Linked DNA regions of Mytilus edulis. The protein of the gene in region 1 interacts with the protein of each later gene in a biochemical or structural test. Links are inferred from orthologs where the notes say so. Each region holds a gene or a part of one and is shown on either strand. Other genes may lie near its edges.

What was found.
Region 2: the proteins of bromodomain adjacent to zinc finger domain protein 1A-like (region 1) and SWI/SNF-related matrix-associated actin-dependent regulator of chromatin subfamily A member 5-like form a complex in vitro, tested with the Drosophila melanogaster proteins (3 studies listed by BioGRID). The link is inferred for Mytilus edulis from reciprocal best matches to the Drosophila melanogaster genes Acf and Iswi.

Annotation. Positions count from the first base shown.
Region 1 is NC_092346.1:30,366,837-30,374,530, reverse strand, and holds the start of bromodomain adjacent to zinc finger domain protein 1A-like, read right to left. Parts: upstream 3,090-7,694; 5' UTR 2,607-3,089; coding exon 2,494-2,606; intron 1-2,493.
Region 2 is NC_092351.1:84,269,787-84,277,484, reverse strand, and holds the start of SWI/SNF-related matrix-associated actin-dependent regulator of chromatin subfamily A member 5-like, read right to left. Parts: upstream 3,071-7,698; 5' UTR 2,950-3,070; coding exon 2,899-2,949; intron 481-2,898; coding exon 397-480; intron 1-396.

The DNA of each region.
Region 1 (7,694 bases):
CACTGAGTTCCACGGAACGCTTACAAACTTTTAAAGTTTCTTAGTTCATAAATTGTACTGGCGAAAAAAAAATCTTCATCAGATCTTAGGCCAAATCAAATTATATGTGTGGTTCCAGTTACATACTGTTAAAAAATAGGCTCGGTAGGTCTGCAATTTTTTTTATTTTTTGTAATATTTTTTTTTTGAATGTCAAAATCCGGAAAATTTGTGTGTTTACCGAAATTGTTTCTGGTATTATACACACCCCAACCGGAAGTCCACCATTTTTACATGTTTGGTTGTAAAATAAACAGTCATGATACGTTTTTAGTTAATTTTGTTGCATTCTGTTATGAATTCTTGCATTTTAGCCATAACAGATACTTGTGATGGAAATTCAGATGACAGCAGTGATCGGGAAGGACGTGCGCCCTGCGCCTATTGACAAGAAATGGCACATACAGTGACAAATGTAAGCGCCAACGTGGCGCACGATATTTTTCACTACGTTTTGAAACGCTTCGATATCATCAATTGGATTTCCGATCGTGTTCCGTGCCGCCATGCGTGTGTACATAACAGTGTAATGTTCCTCCAATAATAGGAGCACCTATATATTTTTGGGACGTCTCGGGTGTTTCCCTATGATAATAAAACCAGGCAGTTTCATGTATCGGGTATTTTCCTATTGTAAAAATAAGACCATGTGATCTAACTGATAACCCGAAAAAACGTAATTAACCATTATTCATGATATATTTTTTTTATAAACAACTTTAAATTTGTGAAATTTGGCTAGTACAGACGAGATTTAACTCTAAAAATAATCTCATTAAGTTTAGCTTGCTATTATTTCGATTGAAGAACCCCAAAGACTTTTTAGGAATATAGTGTTTGTCTCCATAAAAGACGTTTAACTGTCCTTGTCATTTTATGGTCTTTGGTACGTTTTGACATTTTGTAATCATGACTTCAGCGATTTGTTGTTTTGTGCTATAAATTAATGGTACTCTATACTGTTATTCTTGTCACCGTGATGAAGTTATAATAATACAAGAAATGCAGAGGAAATGCCTGAAATGTCCTCTGAAATAAGTATGGTATCGACGAAGACCCAAATTTAATGTACAAAAAAACAACCATGGACATGAACAAGGCAACAGTACCAGTTTAAACATTGTAAATAAAGGTTAACTTAAATATTGTTCGGGTTTGAAGAAGTTATTGTATATTCATTGAAATTGAAATTACAAAATCACAGGAACAATATCCATGATTTTATTTAAAATCATAAAGGTAAGTAAATGTACCAACATGTACACCTCTTTGCCAAAATATACTGATACTTTTTTTTGTTTACAGAAGTCAATTTAAATGGCCCACTCATTTGACAACAAGGCCCATTATTTTTAAAAATGGCCCATTGAATTTATTTTTGAGGGGCCTTGGGCCTATAGGGAAAAAAACCTTCCAGATCACTGTGACAGAAATCTATGAATTTAATCATTTTAATTCACAATCCTCAAAATTTGATCATTTGAAAATATATTTTTCAGAAATGAAAAAAAAAAGTTCTAGTGTCGAGGGGTTTTAACTAGGGTCGGTCGGGTTACTGGAACCACACATATATTTTTATTTGGCCTTATAAAACTGTTGACAAAAAAGAGTCCAACAAGATTTTTCTTTGAAAATCCATTTTATATAAAAAGTATCTTGTATCTCAGCTTGTAGACAGGCTAATTTTGCAACCAAACAAATTCAAAATGCTTATCTAAAGCATCCAGAGGCTTACCGTAAGCAACCAGATGAATTATTAATCAAACGCACCTTTACATCTTAGCCTTGATGTAAATACCATTTACAAAGTACTATGCAAATACATACTTAGAGCTATTACTAAACCCCTATTCCTGATAGTGATAGAGAGGGGGGCTTCAAAAGTTGTATTCTATTGTTGTATGCAGATATGCTTAGAAAGATTACGAAATGACAGTATCATTTCTAAGAAAAAACTTATGATTCTGTTCTTAAATATAAAACAGCACTTGTCCACCAATAGATGATATCTTTCTGTGGATACAGCGGAGCTGACTACCTTGAAAAGCAGTAATACTAAACGACTTCAACATGGATTGAGTACTTGCATGGGAATACATTTTGTATTCTCAGAATCCTTCACACATGCTTAAGTATATTAAAAGATAGAATTCCAGGTTGATGTAGGTTTGTATATAACAAATATGCATATTTATCAGAATAGATTAACCAAATTAATTGACCCATATACACATTCAGTAGTTCATTCTTGTAGAAGCTAGAGGAAAACACATTTCATAATGATATAAATTACCAAACAAACAAACAAAATATTTTTGAGGAACATATTTCTGTTATTTAGTGTAAATTTATATATAGGAAGGATACAAAATGGCCGACAGAAAACTAAATCACATTTTCATACATTAGATTAATAATGTTCACCGAACATCAGGGCTAAGAAAATAAACTTACTCATAATCTTTGAAGATTTCATTTGTCAGCTTACAATGAAATACATCGTCATCAGGCTGAAGGGAACTTGGTACTGGTTGTCTGTGAAATGGCTGTTTTCGTAATAGCGGCATCTTGAACTGTTGAAATTTTTTGGAGGGAATCACAAAGAAATTTTTGTTGAAACTGTTAAATAAGACACAAAATAGCTTTCTGCATGCTGTGACAGAATCTTCATTCGATGTGTCATAAAATGTCAGCTAAAATTAACACATGTAAACTTTGAAAACTAATTATTATGCTTAAGACTGCTAGGTCTTCGATCTCCGTCTGACAACGAGGTCATTTGATTGTAGCGTGAAACAGCACAATGTGAACTTCGCGCCGACCGAGAGAGGGGGGAGAAAACGATCGTTTTTCTACCACTTTATCTCTTCTTTGATCCGAAAATCTGTTTGACGATGAAAGTTAAGTAATTTATTTAACTAATGGTTGCGATAATATGTCTTTAAACATAACATAAAACAAAAAAACAAGGGTAAAACCGTAGTGTCTTCGAAAATTTCGAAGGAAAAAAGTACAATTTGGGCGGAGTCTATAAATGAAACAAACTATCTGATTGGTCACGAAATGAACGATTGACAAGGTATGTAAATTTCCCATTTGCACACTAAATCGACCTCTAAGACAAGAAATTGTTCAAGGGAAGTAACAACAGATCAATGCATATAAAACTAGAGGCTCCAAGAATCCTGTGTCGCTCACCTGATATTTTCATATGGGAGTCTAAAATATAAATGATAGAATTTGTTTATTTTTTTTACCAAAACGTAATATATATTGATATATGTTTAAAAAAAAAAAGATAGGCCACCGTGCATTTCTCAAGCTTCAGGTTGTGACAAAATGGCATATTTTGTATGGATTATAAAGGAAAATAAGTTGAAACTAAACTAAATGATAGAATTGTAATATAAATTTCGAAAAGATACTTTAATACAAGTCTTTGAGAATATCAAAAGAAAAGGTATAGGGTCACCGTACGTTTTTTTCGGCTAAAATACTACATATGAAAATTCCATGTATATATAGATTCCTTCAGAAAATGCATTGTTTCAGAGCTACATATCCCCTTAAATGCTAATTTAAAAATAAATTAAAAATCAACCAAAATAACATACACTTGTAAAAATATTAATTTTCATAAAATATATTCTTATTGATTTGTTCTTTTGAATGAAAATTCACATTAGTTATCGGCATTCCTGCATCAAATTTTTCTATTTTGATTGAAAATCTGGACCTTAGAATCTGTTTTTTTCACAAAACCAAGATGTAGAAAGACACCCATAACACCTTTATAACAGAAGCAAATTGGTAATTGGCAAATGGACTATTGATGCATGAAATAATGCAACCGATATACTTTTGCTTTACTAGTTTTAGAGATATCGAAGTCAAAAACTTTATTCTCCTTATGTTATATTTTTAGCCATGTCTACCATGTTGTTTGGCAAGCAGGTTTTATTGGTCACATTCTTTAAGATAGATACCCTAATGCTTATTGTGGCCAAGTTTGGGATAAAAAATTGTCTCAGTTGTTTCAGGAGAAGAAAAATTGTTAAATTTGACCTTAAAGGACAGAACTCCTTATGGGACCAATTGACCATTTTGGTCATGCTGACTTATTTGTAGATCTTACTTTGCTGAACATTATTGAATGAATTGCTGTTTACAGCTTATCTCTATCTATAATAATATTCAAGATAATTACCAGATACTTCAATTTTTCACACAGTCCTTAAAATTACCAAGGGTATCAATCCAACAACAGCTAGTCTGATTCGTCTGAAATTTTACGACAGATAGGTTCTAACCTGATACACAATTTTATACCATGTCAGATTTGCTCTAAATGCTTTGGATTCAGAGATATAGACCAAAATCTACCGTTACCCATACGTTCTATTCTTAGCCACGGCGACCATCTTCATATATACCATGCATGTATACTCCAATGCAGATTGTGACCAAGTTTGGTTAAATTTGGCCCCAGTAGTTTCAAAGGAGAATATTTTTGTAAAAATTTATGGACGACGGACGACAGACGCCAAGTGATGATAAGAGCTCACTTGGACCATTGGGCCATGGCCAGGTGAGCTCAAAAGGGGGAGAGGAATATTTTGAGAAAATTCTTCGAGGTAAAATACAGTTTATGAATTATATTACCCTTTAAATAAACTCATTATAGATACCAGGATTGAAATTTTGTATTTGCCTCAGACGGACGTTTCGTCTACAAAAGACTCTTCAGTGACGTTCGAATCAAACAAATTAAAAAGCCCAAAATAAAGTACGAAGAAACAATTATGTCAGATATCCAAGTAAGATCGATTTTTCCTGAAGCATCATTTATGTTATATATCGGTTCTAGTGAGATCGATTTCCCCTGAAAGACCAGTTATGTCAGATGTCCTATAAATTTGATCGATTTCCCCAAAGCCCCAATATGTCAGAATTCCCAATGAGAACTATTTTTTCCCCGCAGAACCATTTATATGGCAGATATCCTATTAAGATCGATTTCTCTGAAGCACCAGTTATGTCATACATTTCATTGAGATATATTTCCCTGAAGCACTATTTATGTCACATATCCTATTGAGATCGATTTCCCTGATGCACCACCTATGTCTTATATCCTAGTGAGATCTATTTCCCTAGAGCACCAGATATGTCAAATTGATATCGATTTCACTGAAGCACCATTTACGTCAGGTATCCTGAGATCGATTTCCCTGATACACCACCTGTGTCATACATTTTATTGAGATACATTTCCCTGAAGCACTATTTATGTCACATATCCTGAGATCGATTTCCCTGATGCACCACCTATGTCATACATTTTATTGAGATACATTTCCGTGAAGCACTATTTATGTCACATATCCTATTGAGATCGATTTCCCTGATGCACCACCTATGTCAGATATCCTAGTGAGACTATTTCCCTAAAGCACCAGTTATGTCAAACATAAAATTGATATGGATTTCACTGAAGCACCATGCATGTATGTCAGATATCCTATTGAGATCGATTTCTCTGAAACACCAATCATGTCAGGGGCGGATGCAGGAATTTTCGAAAGGGGGGTGCTAACCCAGGGCAAAGGGGGGTGCAAAACATATGTCCCGATACAAATGCATTGATCGGCAAAAATAAAGGGGGGTGCGCACCCCCGGAACCCCCCCCCCCCCCCTTGGATCCGCCACTGCATGTCAGAATCCTAATGATAACTATTTCCACGAAGAACCAGTTATGTCAGATATCCTATTGAGATCGATTTCTCTGAAGCACCATTTAGAATCATTTTCATAACAGCATGGACAACCGCAATACTATGTAGGTAGTTATACTGAATCATTAACCCAGTTTAACTTGTTTATCATAGGCTAACGATAACAGTGATTTTACGACCACTGCCAGAGGACTTCCAATGACGATTTAAATAGAATAAAAGAGTAAGGTACATGCAGGTGCACGAGAAGAAAAAAAAAGTTTAAGTACCCAACATTTAAATCAACACACAAGGTCTTGTTCTATGCTAGTTTTTCGTTTGATTTGATTTAGGCGTTTAGAATTATTGGCGACCCCTTCCCCCCAGTTTAAATGGCTGACAAGTAGGTGTTACAGACGAACGTCTACCTAATCTGACCCAATAAATTTAAAACCTGAGCGCGCAAAGAAAATACTGAAATTGTCTTATGAATTTTACGCTGTTATCAAAATGATTCTTTATCAGATATCTTTGTGGCATCGATTTCCCTGAAGAATCAGTTATGCCATACATCCTACTGAGATATATTTTCCTGGGAAAAAAACCCATTTATGTCAGATACTCGATCATGATCGATTGCCCTGAAACATCATTTATGTCAGATATCCCAGGGAGATTGATTTCTCTAAAGCACCAGTTATGTCAAACATAAAATTGATATGGATTTCACTGAATCACCATCTACGTCAGATATCCCTTTGAGATCGATTTCTCTAAAATATCAATTATATCAGATGTCATTGTGAGATGTGTCCTTTTCAAAGCATCGTTTATGCCATACATCCCAGTGAGATCGACTTCTCTGAAACAAAGATTATATCAGATATCCTTGTGGGATCATTTATGTCATATTTCCTAATGAGATCGATTTTCCTGAATCACCAATCATGTCAGATATCCTAGTGAGATCAATTGCAACTACCTTGATGCACCATTTATGTCTTATATCCTAGTGAGATATATTTCCCCGAATCACCAGTTATGTCAAATATAGTATTGAGATCGATTTACCTGCCAATCATGTCAGATATCCTATTGAGCTCGATTTCTCTGAAACACAAATTATATCAGATATCCTTGTGAGATCATTTCCTTCAAGCATCATTTATGTAAGATTTCCTTTTGAGATTGATTTTACTGAAGCACCAATCATGACAGATATCAAAGTGAGATCGATTACCTTGATGCACCATTTATGTTAGATATCCCAGTGAGATATATTTCCCTGAATCACCAGTAACGTCAAATATAGTATTGCGATCCATTCCCCTTATGCACCAATCATGTCAGATATCCTATTGAACTCGATTTCTCTGAAACATAGATTATGTCAGTTATCAGTTATGTCAGATATCGAACTATTCGTGAGAAGAAAGAAAAAAATATGTCAGATATCCTAATGAGATCGTTTCCCTGAAGCACCAGACATATTTCATATATCCGATCAAGATTGATTGCACTAAAGCACCACTTATGTCAGATGTCCTATCGATATTAATTTCCCTTAAACATCAGTTATGTCAGATATCATATTGAAGTATATTTCCCTGAAGCACCTGTTACATCAGATTTCCTATTGAGATATATTTCCCTGAGGCACTAGTTATGTCAGATATTCCTATTGTGATCGATTTCACTATAAAGCACCAGTTATGTCAGATATCCTGTCGAGATCGATTCAAGTTCATCGAAGCTTTATGTCAGAATTCCTAATCGGAACTATATATTTCCCAGAAGAACCAGTTAAGTCAGATATCCTATTGAGATCGATTTTTCTGAACTTCAGAAGCACTATTTATGTCAAATTACCAATTAATCCTTCAATTACGAACATTCAAACTTTGTTCATCTTAAAGTGAGAACATGAAGGATTCGACCGGT
Region 2 (7,698 bases), on another chromosome or scaffold:
GGACATAAGACTGTGATACACAAGTTTATAAAAATCATTAAAAGTGTAATGAAATAATAATAAATAAGATTTAAAATGACTTAACCAAGTGAACATGCATTGATGTTTTGGTATCTTTGATATACATTATAAGAAAATGTACCATAAATACTGAAATTCAGCTAGAAAAAGTTTGTACGCGTTATGACCTGAGATTTGATTCTTCAAAGCAGGTCATGACCTGCATTTTCATCGTCACAGGTTGACAGGTATGCCTTTAGTTGTTAATTTCTGTGTGATTTTGGTCTCTTATGGACAGTTGTGTCATTGGCAATCATACCACATCTTCTTTTTTATATAATAATGTTTGCTCCTCTAGATCTGCATCAGGAGCATAACATTTTAGGCAATACTTACAATTTTAGCTTCAAATTGTGCATTTTCCTGAGGATTCCTCACTTTAGGTGGAGACTTAAGTAGAACTGTTGGTTCAATGGTTGGCTGAAATAGAAAATTAAATAGATTGTGTTTAATTGTACAGGCTTCAAAACATCTGACCACACAAAATACAGAAACACAATTGTACTGAGAGTGGAATTAAACACCAATCAATCACTTTTTATGATATTGATAGTAAAGGCATATGTAATTTTAAAAGTAGGGTCAGTAGGTAAGGATTTCTATTCTTATTAGCAAGGTATACATTGTACGTTATTATCTTAGTCATTAATTCTTATTGATACTTGCTTCACTTTTATCATTTTTATCCCAAAAAGTTATTATTCATCATGTTGATCATATAGATTTTAATAAAACTCCTATTGCAGGTGTTTGTCAGAATCCCCTATTTTCCAGTCAAAAAAGCACATGACTGTCAACAATCAACATATGACATGTTATAGCCAAGCTTTTATGTAGAAAGTATGGGATTTAATCATGTTTATTAGCCAATCAAAATTTGATTAATCATTGTCTCTTGTGATTATTAGGCATTGCAACCATGCATAATTTAAACTTGTAATATTCGAGTCATATTCCTTTGCCTGCAAGTAAGAATTGTAAAAATACATATCTATTTTCATTTGCAAGATGTAACACTTTTTTTTTAATCATTACATGTATTTAATTACTTTGTTTTATATTTCAAACTTAACTTATTGTTTTGAAGATGATAGAAATTAATCATCCATTTGAATATTGATTCTTCAATGTTCTTATTTGTTTTATTTGTTCAGTTTGTTTATACAAGATATTAAACATCCATTTGATGTACATATATATATTATGTAATTGATTTAATAAAATGTATTTAAAAAAAAAAGTACATGGACGATGCATTTTCACAAGTATGCCATTACATCTTTTCAAGGTACACGTTTCATCCCATGGAAGTTGCGTCCTGCATTCTATATTTAAATTTACTCAGGCCAAAAAAAATAAATTATTATATGTTTCTTGTTTATGGTTACCAGACCGACCCTATTTTGAGCGCCCACCCTAAGCCATTTTATTTCAGTTGTGAAGTGAAAAATAAACTGAACTCGTGTTAAAAGTGAAGATAGTGTTGCCTGATGCATCCCAATGTTCATAATCATGAATATGATAGCTGTTTTAAGGAAATTTGCGACTCGTGTGATTAATAAACATTTTGCCGTCATTTTTTCCCAATCAATAACAAAGGGAAATAATCCAATCATTAAAAATACGGGTAACTTCGGCCCATGGCAAGGCAGACTGCAGGAAAAAAAATAAAATGGACATACCGACCTACCTACCCTATTTATTTTGATGATGTAACCTTAAACAGATATATTTTTTTTGGCATCACAGGGGTACAATGCTTTTCTGAGTTCTCAGAAATGCAATATGGTACTGAGAACAAGGTTATACACATCAGTTTGTGATAAATCCTGGTACTATACGAATCCGGGTCCGTTCGCGCCCATTCACGTTCGCACCCACTCATGTTCGCCCCCTTTCATTTTCGCACCCTACATGTTCGCGCCCAGTTTTAATTGGTTTTGTGTTTAATAACTTTGTAATCAAGTTTTGGCAAGTAGTATTCTTATAAGTATAATTGTTTTCATGGTCTCAAAATAAAGTGAGACAGCATTTTTTTTTGTGTTGAATAAATCTTAATCATGTTTTGGATAGTGTATTGTTAAAAAAAAATATATTCCTTTCTAAATAAAGTGGGATTCTGTCAACGTTTTATTTTGTGTTGAATAACTGTTTATCATGTTTTGGTTAGTGTATTGCTATAACTTTTGTTTCATTGACTTGTTTCAAAATGAAGTGAGATTCTGACTACGTTTCCTTTTTTTTTTGTGTGTTGATTAAATTTTATCATGTATAGTAATATATAATAGTGTATTGTTTCATTATTTCAGATCAAAGGGACCAAGCTGTTAAAAACAATTATCTTTTGTGTTTTTCATTTAAAATCTTCAATCTTTTACTCATACCAAGCTATAAATACATTCAGTATTTACACGAAAGCAATTAAAAACAACAATCATGATTTTCCAATTATTCAACTCGAATTTGAATTAAAATTGGGCGCGAACGTGTAGAGTGCGAACGGACCTTGGGTGCGAACGTGCGAGGTGCGAACGTGTAGGGTGCGAAAGTATATTGGGCGCGAACGGACCTGATACCGTACTATACACTCAGTAGTTTGAGATTTGTAAAGTTTTGTAAACACAGACAGTGACACAGCCATTTTTTGTACATTTGTTTTCATGAACCCTAAACCACAAAGTATGTCATGATGTACGAGTAAAACAGTTAGGGCTTAAGAAAATTAATTGTTTGGTAATATTTCAATAACAGTTTTACGACAATTTCCCGCAAAAATGCAAATTTTTATATATCAGTTTGTTGTTAAACGTTTTCCACAATTTCTATAAGGCTAATTACAGCTAGTTCCATTGGTTCATCGTTGGTACTTTCAGCCTCTGAGTCAGACATGGTTTGTTTGGTCTATACTCAGACTAATTGCTAAAATATATGCTGTTTTCTTTGTCGTTTCGAATCACCGGCAAAATTTGCGCTTTGCCGGAAGTTAAATTCACGCTTGCGCAATTGTTATGGAAAATGCTAAAATATATCCCTTTACTCTGACCTTAGAATTAGACCCAGAATTGAACATTTGTTTTTTGGTTTATTTTTTGCTTCGCATACCTTAAAATTTAGTTATTCACAACTTTAATAGACTCGGTTGGATAAATAACTTTACAATTTAGACAGACATTAGTCTAATTTATGTATGTACGTAGATCCCTCCTTTATTTGGAGTACCCATCGAGGAATACGTGACCTGGTCAATACACCTTATCGCTATTTGTCCGCCATAACTAGATATCACACAGGTTCCCGTAAATTTTTGACGTCACAAAACAAAATACCTGACGCCACAATGGAAAAGTGATTGTTGTATGCGTCAAAAGTTCAATCGGCCGGGTCAGCCGGGATTAGCGATAAGGTGTATTCGGTACCTATATTCTATATTGCTAATGCACCTTGTCAAATAGGCACCTATTTAAAGTTATTTCGCCATTTAATAATAAAACTGCCATCTAATATTATTTTTTCCGTTTTGTTTTCTTTATATCCGAGAATAGTTTTCTGACGTTTTTTTGTATATTTTTTTGCCAAAATTACAATTTCAGAGAATTATTTTGTGTGACTTTGTTAGTTAAAACTCAGCACATGTACACTGTGTCTAAACTATCCCGGTAAAAAGTGTGAACTCAATGATATCTGATGTTCGGAACTGTGATGGAACATCAACAGGCAGACGGAAAAAGTAGGTATTTGTGCACTATTTGTTTATGATATCCAAGAGTATAAATACATACAATTTTCGATTTTGAGGTGCTATATTTTCTGTAATCTTTATAGATTAATGTAGAAATTGCAAATTAAGATGATACATTTATAGTGAACCTTGCCTTTAATTTCCTGTTAATTTATGAGGGGGGATAGGAGGGGTCCTGATCCCGAAATCCCGAGCTTAAAAACATGAAATCCCAAAATTCCGAATTTAAATAAAGTTAATCCCGACGTCCCGAAATCCGAAAAAAAGAATTCCCGGATCCCGAATGGGTCAATCCCGAAATCCCGAGCTTAAAAACACCCGATCCCGGAGTCCCGATAAAGGTCCTATCCCCCCTCATTTATACTCATTGTAAAGAAAGGTACGGGACGGAAGATATTTACATGGAGATTGCAAGACTATAGCCACTTTGAAAACCTCACTACTTGTATTTCTGTGCATGGACATAAATGACAAATAGAAAGACCCGGAGTTATCAGAGTTGTTTACTACACAACGACCCGGTTTTGTATTTGTATAAGACCCGGTGTTTTTTTTTTTTGGAAACCACAAATGAATTATGAAAAGCAACGATTTCTTTATCTATTGCGGTTTTAAAAAAAACCAGACAAAACTCCCTAATCCCCCGATGTTGCATGTCGGCCAAAATAAACATACTTGTAAGCGGGATAACCGAAACATGATTTAAAAACTTGATTTATATCCCAATGATGATTGTCAAATCAAATAAAAGGAAATGTATTTAAAGTCGTTAAAAAGCATACAAAACAGGAAAGAATAAGCTCTTTCGACCTTTTAAACCGACAAAAGTTTGTGGACAAGTTTTGTTAAATGTAGCCAAGTAATTTCAGAGGAGAAGATTATTGTAAAAATTAATGGAAGACGACGAACGATGTAATGAGAAAAGCTCACCTTTCATTTTGGGTTAGGTTGGCTAAAACCAACAAAGAATTCCAAACAAAATTTCATTGTTCTTAAATTTCATAATTTTGTCTAACAATTCACAATTAAGTTTCACAAACGAGCGGGAAACAAATCAAACATGCGGAAAAAATGTCACCCTTCGTTTTTCAACATAAATAGACACTACGTGTTATTCATACAATAATGCACGCACTAAAATGTAAATTATCGCGCCTGCTTATGATCGTAATTGATTTTATTTTCAAGATAAAAGTTTGACTTAAACAAAAGTGTCACATTATAAGTTAAATATGGTTCGCTACTGACCACCTACGGATCCATAGAGGGTTAGTAAAATTAAAATCCATAGGGGGTTAGGAGGCCGAGTCCCCCATGGACTTTATACACACTCTATGGATCCGTAGGAGGTCAGTAGTTAACCGTATAACGAATTTATCGCACGCTAGACTTTTACTGCTGCGTTTTGTTGAAAAATAAACTATGAAACACAACAACATTAATAGATGACGTCACAATTAACGCGTCACGAACCCCTTACGGTCTCATAGGGGGCCACCACGTTACGGCGTTAAACAAATCACAACGTGATAATTTACCTGCGGTGCTATAAAAACTTAACTTTGTTAAATAATAAACCATAAATAAAAGTTAAGGTCAGATGAAATCTGCCTGACGGACTTTGACACATTTCAATCATTAATACAAAAAAAACCACCCTCAACCTTCACCAATTAACCAAGAAAATAAAGTTATAAAAAAAGTCATGTGCACAAATGCAATTCGAGCAAATAAAGTTGACCGGTATTGCTTATGGTATTAGAGATAAGCAGGCGCGGATCCAGAGGGGGGGGTTCCGGGGGTTGGAACCCCCCCCCCCTTTGTCCTGGGTTAGGAACCCCCCTTTTTAAAATGGCTGGATCCGCCCCTGATAAGGACTAGAACTCGAAATGTTCACATTGATCATAGTTAACAACCATTAACAGTGTGAAATTCAATTGATAAAATTTACAGCTATTCAATTTTTGTTAGCAAATCGCGGAACTACTAAAATGTGGACAAGGGCAATGGAAATATGACATATATATATATAAATACAATACTTCTGAAATATGAAGCTTCGCTGATGTGCCTTTTTTATTATTATTTTTTTTATATATATATAATGTTACCTGCAAAAGTATGAATGTTGTTTACATACTAGAATGTTCGGTTTGTGGCCTCCAATATGTTGGTGAGTCAAAGCAGCCTTTCCACAAACGCCTCAATGGCCATAGGAGTGATATCTCTAAGAAGCCACTTCTCCCAGTTTCTCAGCACTTCAGACAGTCGGGTCACAAACCTGATGACTTTAACCGCATGAAAATTCTAGTGATTGAACAGAATATTCACTGGAGTGATGCCCAGCGACAGGTTAGGGAAAGCTTTTGGATAAAGGAACTTTATGTACATCATCCAAACGGCATCAATAAGAAATACTAGCGTTTTTGTTTTTTCACTCATTTTTATTGTTAATATACACAGTCACGTATATTGATTTATAGTGTTTTGTTTATATTATGATATTCAGGCTTTTGGATTAAAAATCAATCGACCAAAACTTACCTGTATTATTACTGATCTATTTTTACACCTTATACATCATGTATCAGTATTGTTAAAACTTGTGACACTTGAAGAAGGCCATTTGTTGAGCCGAAATATTTGTCAGCACGATTTAATAACAACATTTTCGTATTATAACATCTTATATCAGTACCGTTGTGCAAATCTTTAGACTGATATATATATATATATATATATATATATATATATATATATATATAAAAGTCTATAAAAAGGACCAACCAGCAAATTTACTATGTACCGGATCGTCTAGAATAGGCGATACTATGCAGATAAGGAAAAAATTAAATCAGTCTAAAGATTTGCACAACGGTACTGATATAAGGTGTTATTAAACGAAAATGTTGTTATAAAATATATATATATATATCTTATTTACGCTGAAATTAAGAGTACTACGACCAAATATTAGTAGACTGGAGCCAAGATATTGTTACAAGGTATCTACATAAACTCATCATAGATGGATACTAGGATATAAATTTTGTCGGTTTTTGCGCCAGACGCGCGTTTCGTCTACAAAAGACTTATCAGTGACGCTCGATTCAAATCTAGTTAAAAAGGCAAATAAAGTCAAATAAAATTAAAAAGGCCAAACAAATTAACCGTTTATATCAAACTTATAGCTCTGGTTTTGTAAAAGTTGAAACCATTCATATCATATATAAACCTATACACTAAACATTATTTTCAGCATTCATATGTATGTAATAGTTGCCACTGTACTACATTAAGCGCCCATCTATCTATTTGTAGGTGTCGGCATTTTGAAAATTGAAATTTTTTTTCAAATTGAAGTTTATATCAGCGATATATATGTAACACTCAGAAACATGTCCTTCCCCCCAAACGTGTCCGATTCCCCAAAACGTGTCCACATCGACGTCACTGAACTGCAAAACATGTCTAGTTGTAACAGCGCCAAAGCGTGTCATTTGTATAAACGCCTTTAGAAACGTGTCCATTAAAAAAAAACCCACTCAAACGTGTCCAATCCCCAAAATGTGTCCATTATTTTTACTGGAATTATCATTCGTGTCAATAACATAAATACGTGAAGATATTAAATCAGACACCTCGTGTAGGGAGAATGTGCTATTCTCTTCGCGTTTCTTACTGAATTTATAAAAACTAGGTTTTTACTAACTCTCAATTATTTTTAGATTAAAATCCCAACGTGTTAATCCCGAATAACCGTTAGAAATTAGGTCCAATCTTAAATTCCCGGTATGATAAAAGAACCTATCTACAGTATGAATAAGAAGATGTGGTATGATTGCAAATGACACAGGAATTAATAGCTACTAGTATAAGTCACCTTACGACATTCAACA